4 linked regions of the Caenorhabditis elegans genome follow. The main gene of each other region encodes a partner of the protein of the gene in region 4 in a complex. Each region holds a gene or a part of one and is shown on either strand. Other genes may lie near its edges. The genes, in order: crn-3, dis-3, exos-2 and exos-4.1.

What was found.
Region 1: exos-4.1 (region 4) and crn-3 share a complex: the UniProt entries of both Caenorhabditis elegans proteins name them as parts of the RNA exosome complex.
Region 2: exos-4.1 (region 4) and dis-3 share a complex: the UniProt entries of both Caenorhabditis elegans proteins name them as parts of the RNA exosome complex.
Region 3: exos-4.1 (region 4) and exos-2 share a complex: the UniProt entries of both Caenorhabditis elegans proteins name them as parts of the RNA exosome complex.

The regions. Positions count from the first base shown.
Region 1 is NC_003280.10:10,586,320-10,593,191, forward strand, and holds crn-3 (Exosome complex component 10 homolog), read left to right. Parts: upstream 1-1,722; 5' UTR 1,723-1,723; coding exon 1,724-1,962; intron 1,963-2,586; coding exon 2,587-4,017; intron 4,018-4,132; coding exon 4,133-4,655; intron 4,656-5,080; coding exon 5,081-5,384; intron 5,385-6,105; coding exon 6,106-6,239; 3' UTR 6,240-6,333; downstream 6,334-6,872. Other genes in the region: Alpha-1,2-mannosyltransferase algn-9, read left to right, coding at 1-10, 65-595, 653-955, 1,258-1,413; crn-5 (Exosome complex component RRP46 homolog), read left to right, coding at 6,443-6,646, 6,693-6,859. UniProt on the Caenorhabditis elegans protein: Catalytic component of the RNA exosome complex which has 3'->5' exoribonuclease activity and participates in a multitude of cellular RNA processing and degradation events. Involved in apoptotic DNA degradation.
Region 2 is NC_003282.8:10,095,568-10,100,231, reverse strand, and holds the start of dis-3 (putative exosome complex exonuclease RRP44), read right to left. Parts: upstream 3,031-4,664; 5' UTR 3,025-3,030; coding exon 2,938-3,024; intron 2,891-2,937; coding exon 2,694-2,890; intron 2,521-2,693; coding exon 2,205-2,520; intron 1,887-2,204; coding exon 1,646-1,886; intron 1,423-1,645; coding exon 984-1,422; intron 927-983; coding exon 625-926; intron 507-624; coding exon 106-506; intron 1-105. Other genes in the region: msp-36 (Major sperm protein 10/36/56/76), read right to left, coding at 4,416-4,664. UniProt on the Caenorhabditis elegans protein: Putative catalytic component of the RNA exosome complex which has 3'->5' exoribonuclease activity and participates in a multitude of cellular RNA processing and degradation events. Has both 3'-5' exonuclease and endonuclease activities.
Region 3 is NC_003282.8:6,413,859-6,417,987, reverse strand, and holds exos-2 (Exosome complex component RRP4 homolog), read right to left. Parts: upstream 2,511-4,129; 5' UTR 2,486-2,510; coding exon 2,346-2,485; intron 2,285-2,345; coding exon 2,116-2,284; intron 2,071-2,115; coding exon 1,843-2,070; exon of another isoform or gene 1,736-1,842; coding exon of another isoform or gene 1,535-1,735; intron 1,488-1,534; coding exon of another isoform or gene 1,371-1,487; exon of another isoform or gene 1,335-1,370; intron 1,261-1,334; coding exon 1,105-1,260; intron 911-1,104; coding exon 782-910; intron 735-781; coding exon 645-734; 3' UTR 528-644; downstream 1-527. Other genes in the region: Y73B6BL.22 (Nitrogen regulatory IIA protein), read left to right, coding at 1,371-1,487, 1,535-1,735. UniProt on the Caenorhabditis elegans protein: Non-catalytic component of the RNA exosome complex which has 3'->5' exoribonuclease activity and participates in a multitude of cellular RNA processing and degradation events. Involved in regulation of antisense ribosomal siRNA production.
Region 4 is NC_003282.8:13,096,989-13,101,138, reverse strand, and holds exos-4.1 (Putative exosome complex component RRP41), read right to left. Parts: upstream 2,135-4,150; 5' UTR 2,097-2,134; coding exon of another isoform or gene 2,070-2,096; intron 2,017-2,069; coding exon of another isoform or gene 1,902-2,016; intron 1,853-1,901; coding exon of another isoform or gene 1,666-1,852; intron 1,616-1,665; coding exon of another isoform or gene 1,613-1,615; coding exon 1,481-1,612; exon of another isoform or gene 1,425-1,480; coding exon 1,014-1,424; intron 800-1,013; coding exon 620-799; 3' UTR 533-619; downstream 1-532. Other genes in the region: fask-1 (RAP domain-containing protein), read right to left, coding at 327-423; tin-9.2 (Mitochondrial import inner membrane translocase subunit Tim10B), read right to left, coding at 1,609-1,615, 1,666-1,852, 1,902-2,016, 2,070-2,096; dli-1 (Dynein light intermediate chain), read left to right, coding at 2,409-2,503, 2,553-2,911, 2,955-3,050, 3,101-3,265, 3,310-3,560, 3,611-3,841, 3,889-4,023. UniProt on the Caenorhabditis elegans protein: Non-catalytic component of the RNA exosome complex which has 3'->5' exoribonuclease activity and participates in a multitude of cellular RNA processing and degradation events.

The sequences.
Region 1 (6,872 bases), on a different chromosome or scaffold from region 4:
GACTGTTTTGGTAAGTAAATTTAATTTCTAAAATTTAAATTCTAAGTTAATTAAATCCTTTAAGGCCCCATTAAACATCTTCCTCTACAACGTTGTCAGTGGTCCTGGTCCATCACTTTACGGAGAAGAACCGCTCTCTTTCTACATCAAAAATCTCTTCAACAACTGGAATATCGTCATATTTGCTGCTCCATTTGGCTTTCCTCTGTCTCTTGCCTATTTCACAAAAGTCTGGATGTCTCAGGATAGAAACGTGGCACTCTATCAAAGATTTGCACCAATCATCCTATTGGCTGTCACCACTGCCGCATGGCTTTTGATTTTTGGAAGTCAAGCTCATAAAGAAGAACGTTTCCTATTCCCAATTTATCCATTCATTGCTTTCTTCGCTGCTCTTGCATTGGATGCCACGAATCGACTGTGTCTCAAGAAATTAGGAATGGATAATATTCTCAGCATTCTCTTCATTTTGTGCTTTGCAATTCTCTCGGCATCAAGGACGTACTCAATTCATAACAATTATGGATCTCACGTTGAGATTTATCGATCTCTGAACGCAGAGCTGACGAATCGGACGAATTTCAAAAATTTCCATGTAAGAGTTTTATAAATTTCAATGTTTTTATTTTTTCGAAAACTCCCAGTTGTTCAGGATCCAATTCGTGTATGCGTTGGAAAAGAATGGCACCGCTTCCCTTCATCGTTCTTCATTCCACAAACAGTTTCTGATGGGAAAAAAGTGGAAATGCGATTTATTCAAAGTGAATTCCGCGGACTTTTACCTAAACCATTCTTAAAATCGGACAAGTTGGTGGAAGTTACACGTCATATACCAACAGAAATGAATAATCTGAATCAAGAAGAAATATCGAGATATGTGGATTTAGATTCATGCGATTATGTGGTTGATGTTGATATGCCACAGTCGGATAGAGAACCTGATTTCAGGAAAATGGTAGGGGTTTTGAATATGGAGAAACGTAAATGGAGATTTTATTTCAAAAAAAAAATCATCTCAAATTCAGCGACAAAACTACAAAAGAAAAACAAAAAAAAAATGGAAAAGAATTGAAAACGCGATTCTACAATTTTGGCTAAATTCCCTGTTTGAGGAAATCAAATTTTTAAATTCAAATTTTCATTCTTTCCCATTTTTTTTCGTTTTTGACAATTTTGGATTATTTCAAGCATACTCACACTACTCCTTCCTGTAGAAATGTTCTTAATATATAATTGTAAATTCATATCTATTTTTAGGAAGATAACTGGAAACCAGTGGATTCGCTTCCATTCATCGATGTCTCCAAATCAACAGGATTCCATGGGCTTCTTCGTGCATTTTATGTTCCATTCCTTTCTGCCAAACATAATGTCATGACGACATGCACTTTATATCGAAAATCAAATTTGTAAAACATGTATTAAATATTTATTGTTCACTTTGTCTGAACGGAATTCAGATTCAGGGATTCCGATTTCATGTTAATTTCGGGTTTTTTCTTTTAGGTCACCTTCTTTAAATTTAATTTATTCTTCTTATTTATTGCCTGGAAATTTTTAAAATTTGTATTTATCGTTAATATTATTTATTACCAAGAAATATTTTTTTTACAATTTATTCTCATTTATTGTTTTTCTTTTCTTGGTTTCAAGTCAACGATTTATTATTTTTCTTGATTTTTTTCTAAACTTTCGTTTCTCAAGTTCAAAGAAAATTTACAGAATGTCAGGAGAAGAATCAATGCCCGATGAAGAGCAGAAGCAATCTGAGGAAGAAGAGGAAATGATAAGAAAAAGAACGTTAGCGATGAGGAAAAAAGTCGAAGAAATTATGAGAAATGGCGCCGGGCTTGTTCGTGAATCAAATGGTTTGCCGAAAGCTGGTGCGGATTATGAGCTCTACAACTCGTATCCGACATTCAACACGTTTATGAAGCGATCCGAGCAGAGATTGAATGCACTGTGAGTTGAGCGTCTGAATCCGAAAAAGCTCCGGAAAATTAAAAAAAAATTTAATCGACATTTTTTTAAGCCAAAAACACCAAAAAACATTTTTTTTTCTCCAGAAACACAAAAAAAAAGAAACTTTATTTCAAAAAGCTTAAATATTTTCATCAAACATGCATTTTAAGTTTTAAATTTTGAAGTTATTTTGGAAAAAAACTTTAAAAAAAATTATTCGCCAAAAACTACAAAAAAACTACAAAAAATTTCAAAAAATCGAAAAACGAAAAATTTTCGATTTTTTTTCAATAGAAAATTTTCCGTTTTTTCGATTTTCCGCTATTTCGAGATTTTTAAAAAATTAGCTTTAAAATTTGGTATTTTTGCTTCTTTTTAGAAGAAATTGTCATGTTTTTTCTCATCAATATAAACTAAATTATTTGAAATAAATCATATTTTATGGTGAATTTTTTGAACTTTTTTTTTTGAGTTTTAGGAAAATCGAAAAAAAAAACGAACATTTTTGGCTTTTCTATTTTAAGTTAAAAACATCGAAAAAATCGGAAAACGACATTCTTGGCAGGGCCATGTTCAGAGAAAATTTCATTTAAAAACAAAAAACTTGAAATTCCATATTTTCAGCATGAACAAAGTCACCAAGTCAATAGGATGTGCAATGCGAGTTCCAGATGTCGGTTCATCAGTCGAACATTACACAGAATGTGTTATCGAGGCTCAGGACAACATTGCAGAACGTGCAGCAACTCTCCATGAAGCGCTGAAAAAAGCCGAGCTAGATGAGATAGTCAAAGTTCCAGAATTCATTACAAAAGCCGCCCCAACAAATCGAAAAACCGAAGCAGAAGTTTCAGCGGCAATGAGAACGTTTTCAGCGAATATTGGAACGGTTTTGGCGGAGAAGTTTAGAGAACGAAGAGAAGAAGCTGCTCAGATGGTTGTGTTGGAAAAACCACAGAAGACGTATAACATCAGTTCGGACAACTCACAAGCTCCTTTTTCTTCTAAATTGACTGTTAAACATCATGCCATTGAAAAACGAACGGGTATTGTTCTCCACGATGACGATGAGTCTGGAAGAAGAGATTGGATAAGTGCTGAAACAGAAACTGAAGAGGAACATCCATATATCGCTGAAATTCTTCACTTCAAAGTTCCAGAAGCTCAGCTGAAATCTGCAGAGTGTTTAAAATTCACAGCATTGAAGGATACTCCATTGACAATGATTGATACTAAGGAGAAGCTTGAAGCATTAACGAAAACTTTGAATTCTGTAAAAGAGTTCGCAGTCGACTTGGAGCATCACCAAATGCGATCGTATCTTGGATTGACCTGCCTTATTCAAATTTCAACAAGAGATGAAGACTTTATCATTGATCCCTTCCCAATATGGGATCATGTTGGAATGCTCAATGAGCCATTTGCAAATCCACGTATTCTCAAAGTTTTTCACGGTTCTGACAGTGATGTTCTCTGGCTACAAAGGGATTATGGAGTTCATGTTGTTAATTTATTTGATACATATGTTGCCATGAAAAAGCTGAAGTATCCTAAATTCAGTCTTGCCTACCTCACTCTCCGATTTGCCGACGTTGTTCTGGACAAACAATATCAACTGGCTGACTGGAGAGCACGGCCTCTACGAAATGCGATGATAAACTACGCGAGAGAGGATACTCATTACCTTTTGTATAGTTATGATATGCTCCGAGAGCAACTTCTGAAACAAGATACCAAGGATTTGGCCAACGTCTACTCAGAGTCTAGCGATCTTTGCATAAAAGTATACAAGAAACCAGTGTTCAATCCGAAAGGATATTTGACGGAAATAAAATTCCGATTCACACTGAATACTCGACAGGACTATGCACTTACACATCTTTTCAAATGGAGAGATGTAGTAGCTAGAGCAGAAGATGAGAGCCCACATTTTGTACTTCCAAATCATATGATGCTATCACTTTCTGAGACATTACCACGAGATGTTGGAGGTATCTACGCGTGTTGTAACCCGTTACCGTACTTTGTGAAACAGCGAACTGGTGATATTTTGAAGTAAGTTTTGAGAATTGTGGGAGTCCCAGCATTTTCCGAAAAATGAAAATTTCGTAAATATAAGCTCCGGGACTCAAAAGACCTCATAATAAATATTCTAATTATAAAATTACAGAATAATTGTGGAGGCCAGAGATGTGAAGCTTGAGAAAGTGGGATTGTCGGCGAAAGAAAGAAATGATGCACAGGAAGCACGAGGTGTAATGAACGATACTATGGATCATATCACTTCAGTTTTAAAATCAAAAATCGACTTTTCACACACTAGATTTGACGAAGAACGCGGAGAAATTTATATTGATAAGACAGATGAAGGAATGGATATCGAGCTGAAAGATCATAAAGAATCATTGTTATCAGTGCTCCAAACGGCTGAAATTCCAAGTGTGGAAACTATGATTGTTGTGGAAAAAGGAAAGAAATCGGATAATCAGAAAGTTAAAAAGTTGTTGAATGAACTTGACAAATTTGTAACTCCATTTGAATGTTATCAAATGATGATGATTACAAAAGAAAAGCAAGAAGAAGAAGAGAGAAAAGAGGCTGAGAGAAAGAAATTGGAGGAAGGTGATCTACCGAAGACTATGTTCTCACATCATGATGCTCCGATTAATAGAAAACCTGAATTCGATGCGAAGGTTGGTAGATATAATGAAATCTGAAAAAAATCGTTTTTTTTTTTGGGAAAAACCGAAAAAAAATGTCTGAAAAGAAAATTCCAAAATCGGTATTGCTCATACGGAATTCAGAGATTGCTTTATTCTTAAAAAAAAATTTTCGGCGGAAAAACGTACAGATTTGATAGAAAATTTTTTTTTTTCGATTTTCTCTGAAAAAAATTTAGTAAAAAAACTTTAAAAAAAAATTATCTGAAAAAATCACTAAAATCTTTTTTTAATTTTCTCTGAAAAAATAAATAAAAATGAATTTTTTTTCGATTTTCTCTGAAAAAATCAGAAAATAAAACTTCTTTTTTTTCGATTTTCTCAAAAAAAAAATAAATGAAAAAAAATATATTTAAAAATTCCGATGACATCCTTGGTTTTAATAAGATAATTTTCAGCTTCTAAACGTTGATACACTGAAGCTGGTCCCAGATGATCCGAACAAGCCGAAAGATCCAGAACCTTCACCAATGGAAGAATCTTCATCGGAACCTCAAATCTTCGATCCATCTCGTTTTACCGACGACCAGCTACTGTCAAAGAAGGCAATGAAAAGAAAGAGAGATGCTGCTCGACGAAATATAGATGTTTCTGTTGTGCTCGGCGAGTCGTCGAGTAGTTCAGATCCAAAAAAGAAAAAATCTGATGATGATGCTCCCGTTGAAGATTTTGATTATGAAAAAGCTGATAGTAGTGCATTTGGTAAGTTATATTCCTTTGAATTATCCAGACGCGAGATTTAAGGCTAAAAATACGGTACCAGGTCGCGACAACTTGCAAAATGGTGTGCGCCTTTGAAGAGTACTGTAGTTTCAAATTTTCGTTACTGGGAAATTTTCTTCGGTTTTATTTTAGTTTTTTAATAAATAAATTTAAAACTAAAAAAAATTCCGCAGCAACAAAAGTTTGAAATTACAGTACTCTTTAAAGGAGCACACCAGGGCTGGGACAAAAAATATTTTTGAACAAAAAACCAAAATTGAAATTTACGAATTTGCGAAAAACGAACAAAAACCAAAAAAAGTTGATGCTTGAATTTATTTTTCAAAAAAATCGTGAATATGTGAAAATGTATTGGTTTTTCAAAAAATATTTTTGTTGGTCTGAAAAAAAAAACAAAAAAATCAATTTTTCGTCAAAATACAAGAAATATTTCAATTTTTGTTGAATTCCAACAAAAAAACCCAAAAAAAAATCAATGTTATTCGTCGAAGTGCCAATAAAAGCTATTAAAAAACCCAAAAAAAAAAATTCAAAATACCAAAAAAAAACACCAAAAAATCAATTTTTCGTTAAATTCCAAAAAGAACCGCAAATTTGCAAAAAAAAAACGTTTTCTGGCTCAAAATTTGGATAATACCGTACCCAATTATATAGCTCTCAAAAAAGTCTCGAAATCAAATTCCTAATAAATTATTTCCAGAAAAACCTGTTCGAGACAACAACGCCGATTTCGATCCATTCCATCAAAAATATCGATTGAAGAACAAGACAAAGAAGAATATGGCTATGAAAAAATCATCGAATCGACAAGGAACCATCAACTACAAAAAATGATTAAATTGTTACATCCCATCCCATTACCATTGTTATTTTACTTTTTGTTGTTGTGCTTTTTCTTTTGCTTTGAAATTAAAGAAAACTGTTTTTGAAATCTTTTTATTTATTTATTTTTAATTCAATTTGGTTTTCCACCAATTTCAGTTATATTTTCTACAAAATTCATTTTTGTGATTAATTTTGATTTCAGATATCCCCAAATGGCCGGCAGACTTCGTGAAATGCGTTGTGAGCTCTCGTTCCTCAAAAACGCGGATGGCTCGGCATGCTTCTCCCAGGGTGCCACGTGTATTTGGGCTTCATGCAGTGGTCCTGGAGATGTTCACGCTTCGAAAGCAAGTGATGAGGCTATGACTCTGGATATTAGTTATAGAGCAAATTGTGGAGATAACAAGTTCAATGTGGTAGGGGTTTTTGTAGAAATTACTTTTGGAATAATTCTTTTTTCAGCTGAACAATATCATTCATTCTACTCTATCCAATGCAATCAATCTCGAATTGTTTCCCCACACAACAATTTCTGTCACAGTACATGGAATTCAGGATGATGGAAGTATGGGAGCTGTAGCGATAAATGGAGCTTGTTTTGCTCTACTTGACAATGGAATGCCATTCGAGTAAGTTTTTTTA
Region 2 (4,664 bases), 3.0 Mb from region 4:
ATCTAAATGAAAATCAGTTTCTAGGTCGCTCTGTTGTATAAAATATATTTCTTCTTTGAATTTGAATATAACTTTTTTTTTTGTAATATTTTTTAAATTTTAAACCTTTGGTGTTCTGGACTCCCAATCCATATCAAAGCGAACTTCACTCGATGCCAACGTCAATGCTCCATTTCCAGTTCTTCTCGCATTCAAAACTTTCGACAATTTCATCAATCCACGTAATCCCAATGCCACGTCATTCTGCTCTTTTGGATCGTCAATAATCTCTTGTGCCTTCTCATAAGTCAATGCAGCTTTTGATTTAATTAGAGATTTGTGATATTTAACTGATTGTATATCAGCACTAGAAGTCATTGTCCAAATACACGAAAATGCATAACGCTCTTCTTCTCCGCGAAGTGAGCACAAATTGGAACTGAGCAGACATGGAAGCATATCGATACGACGATCACAAAGGTATACTGTAGTTCCACGTAATGCTGCTTCATCGTCGATTGCGGTTCCTAAACGTAGGAAATTTTGGTTCTTTTTTTGAAAATAAATGAGGTTTTATTCGAACCTCAAAGGACAAACATTTTTTTTAGTAAAACTTGAATTTTTAAATAATTTCAGTATATTTACCTGGTCTAACAAAATGCGTGACATCTGCAATATGAACTCCAACTTCGAAAAGATCCTCTCCAATTTGTTTACAGTGTAATGCGTCGTCAATATCTGTACATCCAAGTGGATCAACTGAACAAATTGTTAAATCTCTCAAATCAACACGTGGTAGAGGGCCGCGGTTTTCAGTGAGATCTGGTTCCCATTCTTCACGTGGTAGACAATCAAGAACAGATTCTGAGAATGGAGCATGTGGAATATCATGTTCGAGAAGGAGAACCTCATTTTCAGTTTCACGGGATCCCATCTCTCCGATTGATCTGAAAACAACAGTCATTCCGTTAAAATATTTCAAGATTTTCTGAAATTTCACATACCTGACGTAATGTCCAAGTGGATACTTGGAATCTCTTGGCCAGTGATCAATAGCCACCACAATTCTCTGCTGTGATAAAGTTTCAGCCTGTTCCGTCTCGATTCGAATTCTTGGAATAAGTCGTTCAGCTGGACAGAACAAGTGTCTTCTGGCTCCTTTCACTGTACTTGGCAGCAACATTCCACAATATTCACGCCAATTTCTTTTGATAATTCCAACAACTTTTGCAGTTGAAACAGTCATTTTCTTCGACTTTTTAGCTTTTGGCTCATCGTTCTCGTCATCATTCTCCTCGTCTTCATTTCCCATGTCATCTGCAGTTTTAACATATTCTTCAACGTCACGGAGTCGAATTTTCTTCTCTGGAGCAGTCCATTGGTCTTCTGGCAAAAGTTGAACTGCGACGGTATCTCCATTGACGGCACGATTGCAATTATTTCCTAAAATTCGAAATAAAAATTTTATTATTCAGAGAATTGGAATTTTTGGAAAAATTTCACCTTTTTTAAAAATATAATTTCAGAGTTGTTTCGCTCAAAATGACCGAAAACCACCTAATTTCGTTATAAAAAAGTTTTTTTAAAATTCTCAGCAAAAAGTAATGACTTGTGTGAAAAATTTGGTTGGTTTTCGAAAATAAATATTTCAACTAAATTCAAGCACCTGTGATGAACCAAGATGTTAACTGATCATCAATAATAACAGTAGCTTCGCGATAATTTTCTCTTGAAACACTGAAATTTCCTCTTTTGATCGTTCCACTGGCAATTCCCTCCATAATTCTATCATGCGATAGATATTCATCGAAAATTTGTTTCTCATTTCCATTTCCAGAGCTTTCATACGCAGCCATTTGATCCAAAAGTGCTTGTTTTCCTGGATCCTCCAAATTTTGTATGTATTCCTGAAAATTTGGAGATTTTTTCTTTTTCTACGGGGTTACTGGATCATTTTTCAAACTTTATTGTACTTTATTATACAATTTTTGATTAAGGATCATGATTTTTAGTTGAATAAAAGTTTAGTTACGGCGAAAATATGTTAAAGAGGTGTATATTTTAGGGTTTTTGGCTGAAATAGTCTGAAACTAGCTCGGAACGACAGAATTTCATTATGAGTCTTAAGAAATCAAAAATTTTCTTTTAACAAAATTTGGCTCTTTTTCGAAATTTCGCCAGTTTCAGAAAAGATCCACAGAGTTTTGAACTTTTCGACTATTAACCTTTAAATACATCACGTGTTGGTAGTGATTTTCCATTCTTTTTTTCGAATCTTCATCAAAAACTAAGACAACAGGAGCCACGTTATGCTTCTGCCAATGAGTTTTCAAGTAAAGAGCTGTTGAAAGTAGAAGCTCTTCGCCACGACTCAAATCCTCAAATTTCGATGATTCGGAGAAGGTCTCGCAGTGAAATTCGTTCATGAACACGTGAAATCTGTCTTTCGCATCTTCATAACACAAAGAATTCATTTTCTTGTAGGCTGGTACAGCTTTTGCTTTGACTCCTTCCCATACAGTCTGGGTTACGATGAGATCTCTGAAAATTAAATATAATTTATTATTTTACAGAGTTTTTAATTGAAACTAGATGTTTGTTACAATCCCGACAACTTCTAAAAACTGAATTTGGAGCAACAAATTAAGAATTTAATAATTGGACAGTAGAACCATCTACATTTAAATGATTCCGCTGTAATTTTAATTCATTACCTCAATAAAGACGAATCAAACAAATCGTAGAATCTGATTAATGATGTGGAATCCACAATCAGCGCGTGCCTTCCAACTTTCGCATTTCTTACGGGATTTTCAATTTTTAACAGCGGATTTGTGCCGAAATCCTTGCAGGTTCCACATTGAGCAAGTCCACATGAAAGATCATTTCGTAGATATCTTTCTTCGGCTCTCTGCAAAATTTTAATTGGGTTAGGTGATTTCGGAGAGGTTTTCTCACTTTATAGACTTTCCCCGAGCGATTTTGGAAGTAAGTCGTGTGCAAAGCGACGGAATGAATTCCACTTTGTTTGACGTTCAAATCCATACCTTCAAATAATGAAAATACGTGTGAAAAACAAATAAAATCGCACGAATCAGGTGAAAAATGAAGGAAAAACTATTTTATTCGAAGAAAAACTCAGTGTACATTTACGGTGAACAACACGCGCGAGTGGAACATCGGAGTGTCGTAGGCACTACGAAAACGAACACTTCGAACAACACTGCCATCGCAGCTGCGAGGAAAAATGAAATGAAAAGGAAGAATATATCTAAATAGAGTATGGCTAAAATCATGAAAACGGAAGTTTAAACATCTAAAATAGATAATCGGGTAGGAAACATGATTATCTAGGGCCTCATAACCTTAAAAAATAATGCTCAAAACGTTTTTAGATTTTTGAAAATTTTTCAGTCATAGATTTGGTAAATTGCCAAACTTTTTTGTCTTACAAAATTTAATGCGGATGAAACTAAATAATCGCCACTTTTTGATTTTTTTTCATGTATGTAGACACAGCACTGTCCTCAAGGATGAAATCTGACCAGACTTTAAAATGTTAAATTTGTCAAGATGCAAAATATTTATTGTTTTAATGTTAATTTTTGGAAGCAATAAGAACAATAAAAACATTAAGCGAAATATAGAATCTCATTATTGAAAAAAAACGGGTAAGAACATGATAATGAAATACATATCTCGATGGACTTCCATAAGATGTTTAAGAATCGGTTACTGTAGAATTTGGAGTTGAAGAATTGGTTCTACCCAGATAAATTGAAATGTCTTCAGATCCATTAAACTTTGTATGTGATCTTGATCTTCTTCGTTCCCGTATTCTAAAATTAAAATACCTCCAATTTGGATATTTTTCTTCATTATATAATTTTTATCGAAAATTCGAAAATTTACTAAACCCAGCATAGAATTCAATACCAAGGCTTTCATCTAGAGAAAATTTGAATTCGGAATTTCAAATAGAAAAATACATAGCAGAGCTGAGACATTATATACCAGGGATCTTTCCTTTTTCGAAAATTCGAAAATTTACTCGAACCAATCAATAAAGTATTTTTCTCTCATATCAGCAAAAAAAGTTGTGATCGGTTCACTTGTTAATTTCTTTGATTTGTAAGAAAAATACACCCTCCTCGACCTTTACGGAGCAAAACAGCTTTCAGGTTTTGGAGAGATGGGCTGGGTTAGTAGTATGGTTGGGTAGTCTTCTGAACTGAATGACTACTGGAAGATTAAGGTAGGATTACTATAGTTCCAAACGATTTACAATAAATCCCGGATGCTTATGTTAAGGGCATCGATGGAACACAAAACTTGTTCGCTTGAGTATTAATATATATTCAATTTGCAGATTAAAACAGAAAAACAGAACATATACTTGAAAAAAGTTTATTGTTAAGAAACCCAGTTCACACATCCTATGGATTGTACTCGATTGGAAGGTTCTTGCGACGAACCATACCGTCTCCCTGGAACCATTCACGACGGAATTGCTTGGCAGCTCCATCCGGGGTGTTGGTCCACTCAACAGTGATACGGTCGTTGTTGGTATCCTCTTGTCCGAAGGCGAAAGCATCGCAGGAAACAGCAAGAAGCACAGCTTCCTTTGGATCGAGAACTCCACATGGTGGATCAACTCCAAGTCTCTTCATATTGGTGGTCTTGAT
Region 3 (4,129 bases), 6.7 Mb from region 4:
TATTCACCATCGAGAATTAGAAGTTCGAATTAACTTCACATTGTTTTCTATGAAACGTTCATCCGATCCTCGTTTACCATTCGATCCTTTGTTATATTTTCCCATTTTTACTGTGCCCAACACCTCATATGCATCCTTTTAGGTTAGAAGTCTGCTAATTAGCAGCATAATTTTTGAGCTTTCACTGAATGTCTGTCCCATGCCTGCTCTCTCTTTTCCTTTTTGTTGTTTTCCTCTGGTCAATGTTTCAATTCTTCCTGGTTTTTTTTGAATCACAATAAACACTTTCCAGAAAATCGTCTCGATTCTCACTTGGTGGATTGAAAAGCGGATAGTGTGAATCGAAGTATATTCACTGAAATTGTTCGGTCATTAAGTTAGAATGTGGAGTTCAATTGAAACAATTCCTAGATCAAAAAAATTTCTGTGCGACCTTGGGTTTGCAAAGATTACGGGTCGATCGTTTAATTTCAGGGTATGGACCATTTCTTTCGAAACTTTCAGATTTTGTATCGCAGCTAATATCATCCGAAAAAGTAAAAAGTTTTATTTAATTGAAATGGTAAATAAGAAACTCAACAAGAAATAACAGCAACAAAAAAGGTAAATTTTAAATAGGGAGAGATCATTCAAAACAATTAGAATTACTTCTGCTGTTGAAGTTCCTGTAGAAGCCGTGCAGCAATCAGGTAGGCGAGTCGAGAAGACGTGTCTTGCTCGGCGAGCTCTTTGATCTGAAATTATTTTTCTAATTTTTTAAAACTGAAGAAACAATCGATACTTCATAAGGCTGACTCATTTCATAGCATGTTGTCAGTGAATTGAGGTAGATCGAGATGGAATAATCACGAAGAAGACGAACACAGGCAGCGATTCTGACCATAGTTACGCGTACGTCGGGAGGTACAATCTGAAATTTATTTTATTGCGAAAAAAGCCAAATTTTTTTGTTTTTCTTTTCGATTATGATGATCACGAGTATGATGAATAAATTATAAGGTCTCGTCAATCATTGGAATTATTATAATTTCTCGTTGTTGAGTCACCAAATATGTGCGCTAATTGTTATTTTCGATTCATTTTTCTCAAGAATCACTATCACACCTGAAACTCGTGAACATGTGATCCATCCTCTTCAAGTGTGGTCTCCGGCAACGACGGCGTGACCCACACACTTCCGTTGCAGCCAATAATCACAGCCATTCCGTAGGGTAACGTGTGAAAATGTTTCTTGGACTTTTTGATCAAATGTGGAGGAACCTGCAAAAAAAAGAAATTAATTCCGTGACTTCCCACTCATTTTGTGGATTTTTTTGTCGCTTTATTTATTTTGGCAGCATAAACAAAAAAGAAATATTGCTTTGAACGAGATGTCGCATAAGAATGAGAAAACTCAACACTTTGAAAAGGCGGAGGATATTCGTACAAAAGTGCTCGATTCAATGATCTACCGACTCGATGAACGTGCAAATATGGTTATCACGGAGGTTAGCTTTTCATTAATTTTTTTTGAAATAGAAAATTATTATTAAAGAGCCCAATTCCCGAATGGCGTGCTTATACACAATGGATTCTCATTGCTGCGTTGCTTGTAATTTTTTGTATTCTTCGTTATGGCGTCGAGACTGTTGAACTGCATCCAACTGCAAAGAAGGATCAAGATCCTGTGATTGAGTACAGAGATCGAGAATTGAATAAAACTTCTGAGGCTTTTAGAGCAAGACGCCGTACGTGAGCTAATTGGAATCAATTGGATGATGAATTTAAAGAAATATAACAACTTTCCGAACTATTATTTAAAAATTTATAATTGCGTTTTCTTAAGATTTTATAAAATATTACCTTAATCAATATTCCTTGTTGCAATTTTCCGTACTTATTATTTCTTGTGTGTAGCATAAGTGTTCCGTCGTGCTGGACTTGTTGGACTTCTGCACAGATCAGTTCTCCGTTTTTCAAGAATTCGCTCATTTTCTCCTCATCTTCTACATCTTTTCTGCGAAAGTCTCCTCCTGGCAGGAGAACTGAACCTAGTGGAAGATTTGCATGAAGACGAGATGCCACATCACACTGAAAAACAATTATCGTTATATTTTTCACTTAAAAATTTGAAACCTTCCACCGTTTTGCTTGAACCTCCACGACACGGGCAACTACAACATCTCCGACTTCACCAGCATATCGTTGTTTAATAGTTTTAACCATCAACAGTCGATTTAATTGTTGAACGACTCCAGAGAGAGAACTGACGATTTCTCCGTCGCGAACGTAAGTTCCATGTCCTCTGAAAATCTTAATTTTTTCATTTTTCAAAAAGATATAACAGTATTTTACAATATACATACCTCATAAACTGTTGCGGTGCATCACAAACTGAATGTCCTGGAATAACAATTTTTGTCTCATCAATATCATTTCTTGCTTCGGACATTGATAACATCATCCATGGTGATACGAGGGGTGGACCGGTGACTTCGAAACTCATTTTTTAAATTTTTTTTGTCTGCAAATAACCAAATTTAAATAAACTTAAATTAAACAAAGAAACTGAAAAAAGCTTTCATTCGAAATGAAAATAAAAATAATTATTTCCAACGACACTCCGAAATGACGGAAAGCGTGCTGTTTATCGTAAACCCACACGTCACTCAATTGGCGCCTATTCAAATGTTGATTTTCGACCATAAAAGTGCGAGCCAATTGAGCGTGCAAATTTAATTGTTTCTGCTAAACCAATGACGATGAAAACCCGAAATTGAAATAAAAATAAGGTTCGACACGAAGCCATTGTCTGACTTTTTATAAAGGTGTCATTGGAAGGAAGTGTGAGTTGAATGGGACACCTATAATTTCGACTTGCATGCGAACGGGAAAAATACAACAAAAGAGGATACGTAGAAATATATTGGAGAAAAACTGAGTATTTAAAACAGAAGTAAAAATCGTAAAGGAAAAATTTTCAAAACTTTGGTGGTTTATTGTGCGATTTTTAAATATTTCCTAGATTCCGATTTTGCGGGTTTATGTACTCTTTTTTATTTAGGTTGACTGTAAAAGTATTCTTCTCCATCTAAAAATTAAAAAAAAAACATTTTCAGACGGTAGACGGTCATGTGGAACTCTTAGAAAAAAGTTTTGAAATTTTGAAAAAATTGAAAAAAAATCAATGTTTCTGAAAAAACATTTATAAAGTTACCATTTTCTGATTAACAATGTTCGAATTTTCGAATTGGTATTTCTTATTTTGATTGAGAGTTTTATGAGAAGTATTGAAACATATTTTTGATATTATTCTTAAATTTCGTTAAAAGTTATTAAAAATGCATATGTACCCGGAATATTGTAATTGAGCCAGTATTTGAACAACTTCTCAAGAACTTCAACTAAACATTCGGTTAATTTCAGGAAAATCAATATTATTTCTTCTGTTCTATTCATATTTCAGATTGAAATCTTTCACAGAACAGTGCAAATTTCCTAAAAAGAATGTGTCGCAAAAGAAAGGTCCACATATTTTTCTAGCAGTTGTACACTTGCTCCATATTCGAAGCTCATTTTTTATTTTTTGTTTTATATCAAAAATTGTTAACTGACAACTAATTGACTATTTACTTTTCTAAAATTTCCCATAAAAATAGTAGTAGGAGTCTTACAAAAGCTCCCAGAAAAATTTGTAAAAAATCGAAAAAAAAAAACACTGTTTCTGATACACTATTTACAAAATTGTGGTTCATCGAAAACAATGTTTTCAAAATATTGTATCTAATACATCGAGGCATTGATTAATTTTAGAAGTTATAACTTGGTTGTCTTTAAATTTTTGAACAACTGTCAACTGGCAACTTATTGATTATTTAATTTTCTAAAATTTATCAATTTTACAGTTTGTAAACTGTTTTGAATGAATTGAGATATGAGCTGTTAAAGTATGATAGTCAGGTGCAAGTACTTATTTATTTTGTCATTTCATTTTTTCGTAGTTTTAAAATCGCTAACCAATGTCTAGAAAACTTTATACAAAATTATCCATAATTTGCATTATCAGAGCCCTTAATTTCCCACAAAAATTCGGCGAAAAATGTGGGTGGACGGACGGGTGTTTTTCGATGACAAATGGACAGATCAAAAG
Region 4 (4,150 bases):
TAGCTAAAATCTCACATTTCGCAAAATTTTTCAAATATTTTGCCAAATTTCCCTTTTATTAAATTTTTGTCTTATTTTGGTCATTTATCACATGTTTTTTCGTAAAAATTGGTACATTTAAAGCCAAATTTGCTTAAAATTACCCTAAATTTACGAAATAACGTAAAATAAACCAAAGTAGCACAATAATCGAATTAAAATTATTTTCCGGCCGCTCTAAAGTTGGTCAAGTTGGAGATTCTAGCGGAAATTAGCTATTTTTTGAAATTTTTTTGACAATTTTAATAAAATTCTGGCCATTTAGAGCAAAAAAAATCTGCACCTACCATCAATTTCTGCAGGACCAGCTCCACTTTGAGCTGCGACGGAAAACTGACGACACGGAATCGTCCTGCAAAGCGTGGGTAATCCACGGCTCCACATTCTAGATATTTGCAATTTTTTTAAAAAAATATCAAGATTTGAACAAGAAAAGTACGAAAATGAGACGGAAACATATAAAATTTTACAAAATTTCTAAGATTAAATTTGAAAAAACTGATTTATCGACTGCAAAAAATGGGTTTAAAAAAAAAGGAATAACAACTCAAAACAACAATGAATAAGAAAAAAAGAACAGCTAATTGCCTAGAATCGGAGCACAAGCTTTCAGATGTTGCTGAGCAACTACTGCGAGACATTCGTACACGTCAGCACACGTGGCTTTCGCTGCATCCATGACTGTGGAAAGATGATCAATGTGAAGACGATTTTGAAGTTCCACGAGAATCACTTCGTCACGACCGCAGATTGTGGCGAGCTGAAAATTTTAAGCAATTATTTTTTAACGAAAAATCGAAAGTTTGTGTTTTTTCCCGATTTTTCGGAAAATAACTTAAAATTTTGGACATTTTTTTTTTTAGAATAGCAACCAAAATATGATTTCGGTTCCCGGAATATTGAAATTACGGCAATTTTTGAGAAGTCTCATTACAAAATTCATTAAATTAGACAATTTTTCAGCCTAAACATACAGTAACTCTGGGAAGGAGATCAGTTTCTTCTCTAGAAGTAAGATCAACAATTGGTTTTCCATCGACAACACCACACGTCGCTGCAGATGCGATGCCTTTCATTGGGATTCCTGCATCAGCAAGAGCCAAAGAAGTTGCATTGACACAGGCGGCCAGGTTGGAGCCGTCTCCTTGGATTACTTCACAGAAAATATCAAGTTGTGATCGAGGAAATGCTTCCGTCAGAATAACTGATTCGAATGCTTTCTCAAGAAGTCTGCTGATTTCAGTTGATTTTCGATCTCCACGTGTACGATTTTTTCTTTCAAGTCCCGAAAACTTTGTTGCACTATACTGACAAACAATGGCACATTTATCTTCGATTCTTTTTGACGATTTGCCTTCATACGGACCATAAACTGCACAAAGAACCTGAAAAGAGAATAATGTAACTTGAAATTAAATTCAAAACTTAAAAAAAAACCAACCTTGGTATTACCATGTTCCAGATAACAGCTTCCCTCCGCATTTCTGTTCAAGCCAAGACGAGTGTTAATGTTACGAATCTGAGCGGGACGGCGGCCGTCAATACGGAAACCATGTTCAGAGATGATGTTCATTGTCTGCAAAAGATTATTCGTGATTTTTTAAAAGAAATTATGGAAAATCTCACTTATTTTCTTCAATAACTGGAGTAGTTTCAACAGGAGTGGCTTCTGGAGCTGGGACCGCTGGCTCTGGCTTAGCGGATTTGATTGCTTCGGTTGGCGATTGCTCTCCTTGCTTGAAAAGTGCTTTTGGTGCTTGTTCTGCGAATACTAGCATAAACCGACGGTTCACTAGCATCTGCTTGTCAATACCTGAAATTTTGATTACAAAATCGTGTTTATACAATACAATAAATCTTACATTGACTGACACAGGACCCTTCGTCCTTTGTGAGTGTTGATGTGGTGTAGTCACGAGCGCAGGCGTTGAAACAACGTTCGCTGAGAGTGTTGTAGACGGTTAGAAATTCACGAAGCTGAAATTAAAGACATAAATGCGCGGGAGAGGATTTTCCTTTTTTCTGAGCACCTGTTGAATATTTTGAATAGTATTCATAAAGCATAAAACAGTCAACGCCCCGAAATGAGAATAATCTGAAATTTGAAGTTAAGAAAATGAGTAAAAAATTAAATAAAGAGAAAAAATTTGCATGCAAAATGCAACAAAAAAAACAAAAAGTTTCTGTGTATTTTACCGTCACGGTGTTTGCGGAAGTTTAAAGGCGCAGCGCTTTTCATGATTTCAATATCTTTCCACGAAGCATAGAGAGTGTACTTGTCGCGGAGACGCAGACGAACTTCTCCGAGGGACTTGAGTTTAATTTCATTTAAATTAAATTTTAAAAAAAAATTGATTTTCTTCGAGAAAATGCCACCAACTGCGCAACCACTGGAGTTTGATGATACAGCAAATGCTGTGCTTCCGGTTTTGTATTCTTCGACAGACGAAGAAGTCGGAATTTGGTATTTGTTGTATTATTACGAAATATACTATTTGAAAATCATATTTCAGGCGAGAGCTCCTTGCTTCCAAAAAGACAAACACGAATCAAGGCAGCACGGTGATTGTTCTGGGGGACAACCGAAGCGGAAAGTCGTCTCTTCTTTCCCGTCTGGACAAATCTGATAGAACCGTGAAGCCAAAATCACTACTTGGATATCGTGTGCTCCACGTGCAAAATGATGCTCGTGACGCCAGTTATGCATATCAACTGGGAACAGCCGGAGCCAATCTCAATCCATCAGAGTTGCTTCAAATCCCTGTCTGGTCTTTGGATGGGAATGCGGCGTGTGCTTCCCTTCTGAAACATGCTCTTCCAGCAACTCCCGCGGAAGCTATCTTCATTCTTACCGCGAGCATTGATAATCCGAGTAAGTATTATATATTCAAATAAATAAGTATTTAATTATTCAGATCTCATTCATTCCTTGAAAAGATGGGCAAATGTGTGCACCGAGCAAGCTCAGAAACATTTCACCAAAGAAGACTTGAAAGCCGGTAGATCTCAACGTAAGCTTATAAACTCTTTACTTCATGCAATTTAAAATAATTTTTTCCAGAAGAAAAAATGTGGCAAGAGTATGTGGATCCGGTTCAATCACAAATGAGCACTTCCGTAGTTGGAAGTTTCGCCGATGAGCACAACCTTCTTCCTCTCGACCAAGGAACTCTTACTGAGAACTGTGGAGTCACGTTCATGGTGGTCATTACCAAATCTGACCTGGGTATATTATTTAAAGAAAAATAAAATAAATGATGTTTGCAAAAGTTTTAGGAAAGGAATTCACAGATGCTCAATTCGCGAAGATCAGCATTCAACTGAGAAAATTCTGCCTCAGTCTCGGAGCGACTCTTGTCTTCACCAGCGCAAAAGAGACTAAAAATATTCAGCTCCTCCAAAAGTACATTGTACATCGATCTTTTGGCACGGCTTTTACCAGTGCAGCTCAAGTGATTGAAAGAGAGTCGATCTTTGTTCCAGCTGGATGGGACGGAGAGAAAAAGATCGATATTATTCGTGTAAGTTTTACATAAGTAATTGGAGAATCCGAGTTCATGATTAATTTCAGGAGTCTATTCCGGATGTGGATTCAGCTTTAGAGCCGACTCGCGATAAGCTTAGACCTGTCGCAAAAGAGCAGCTCATCGAAGCCGAGGAAGATCAGGCTTTCTTGAAGAAGTTGATGGACATCCTGGCAACTTCAACCACTACGGCCGCTCCCAAGCCGAGGACTATGCAAGAAGAGCCTACCGATAAGGACAGTCCACTCGCCAATTTCTTCTCCAACTTGCTCAATAAGGTAAATCAATCTTAGATCTTTTTTCTATGTGAATTTCCATATTTCAGGACAAGCCGAGCAAGGTGAGCTCTCCTTCCACTGTTTCCCAGCCGATGGATGCCGCAGCCACCCAGGCCCAACTCGATCGTCTTCTGAAGTCTGCGCAAAGCCCGAAACCTCAACCCCGGGACAGTGATGCATAACGTCATTTTCATAATCTATTTAAATATTTTAAGCTTTATCGCCGGTCATTTTATTCTCCTTTGCGATACGATTTTTATTATATGCTGTTTCTGTAAATACCCACACAACCATAATGTAGTTCGTTTC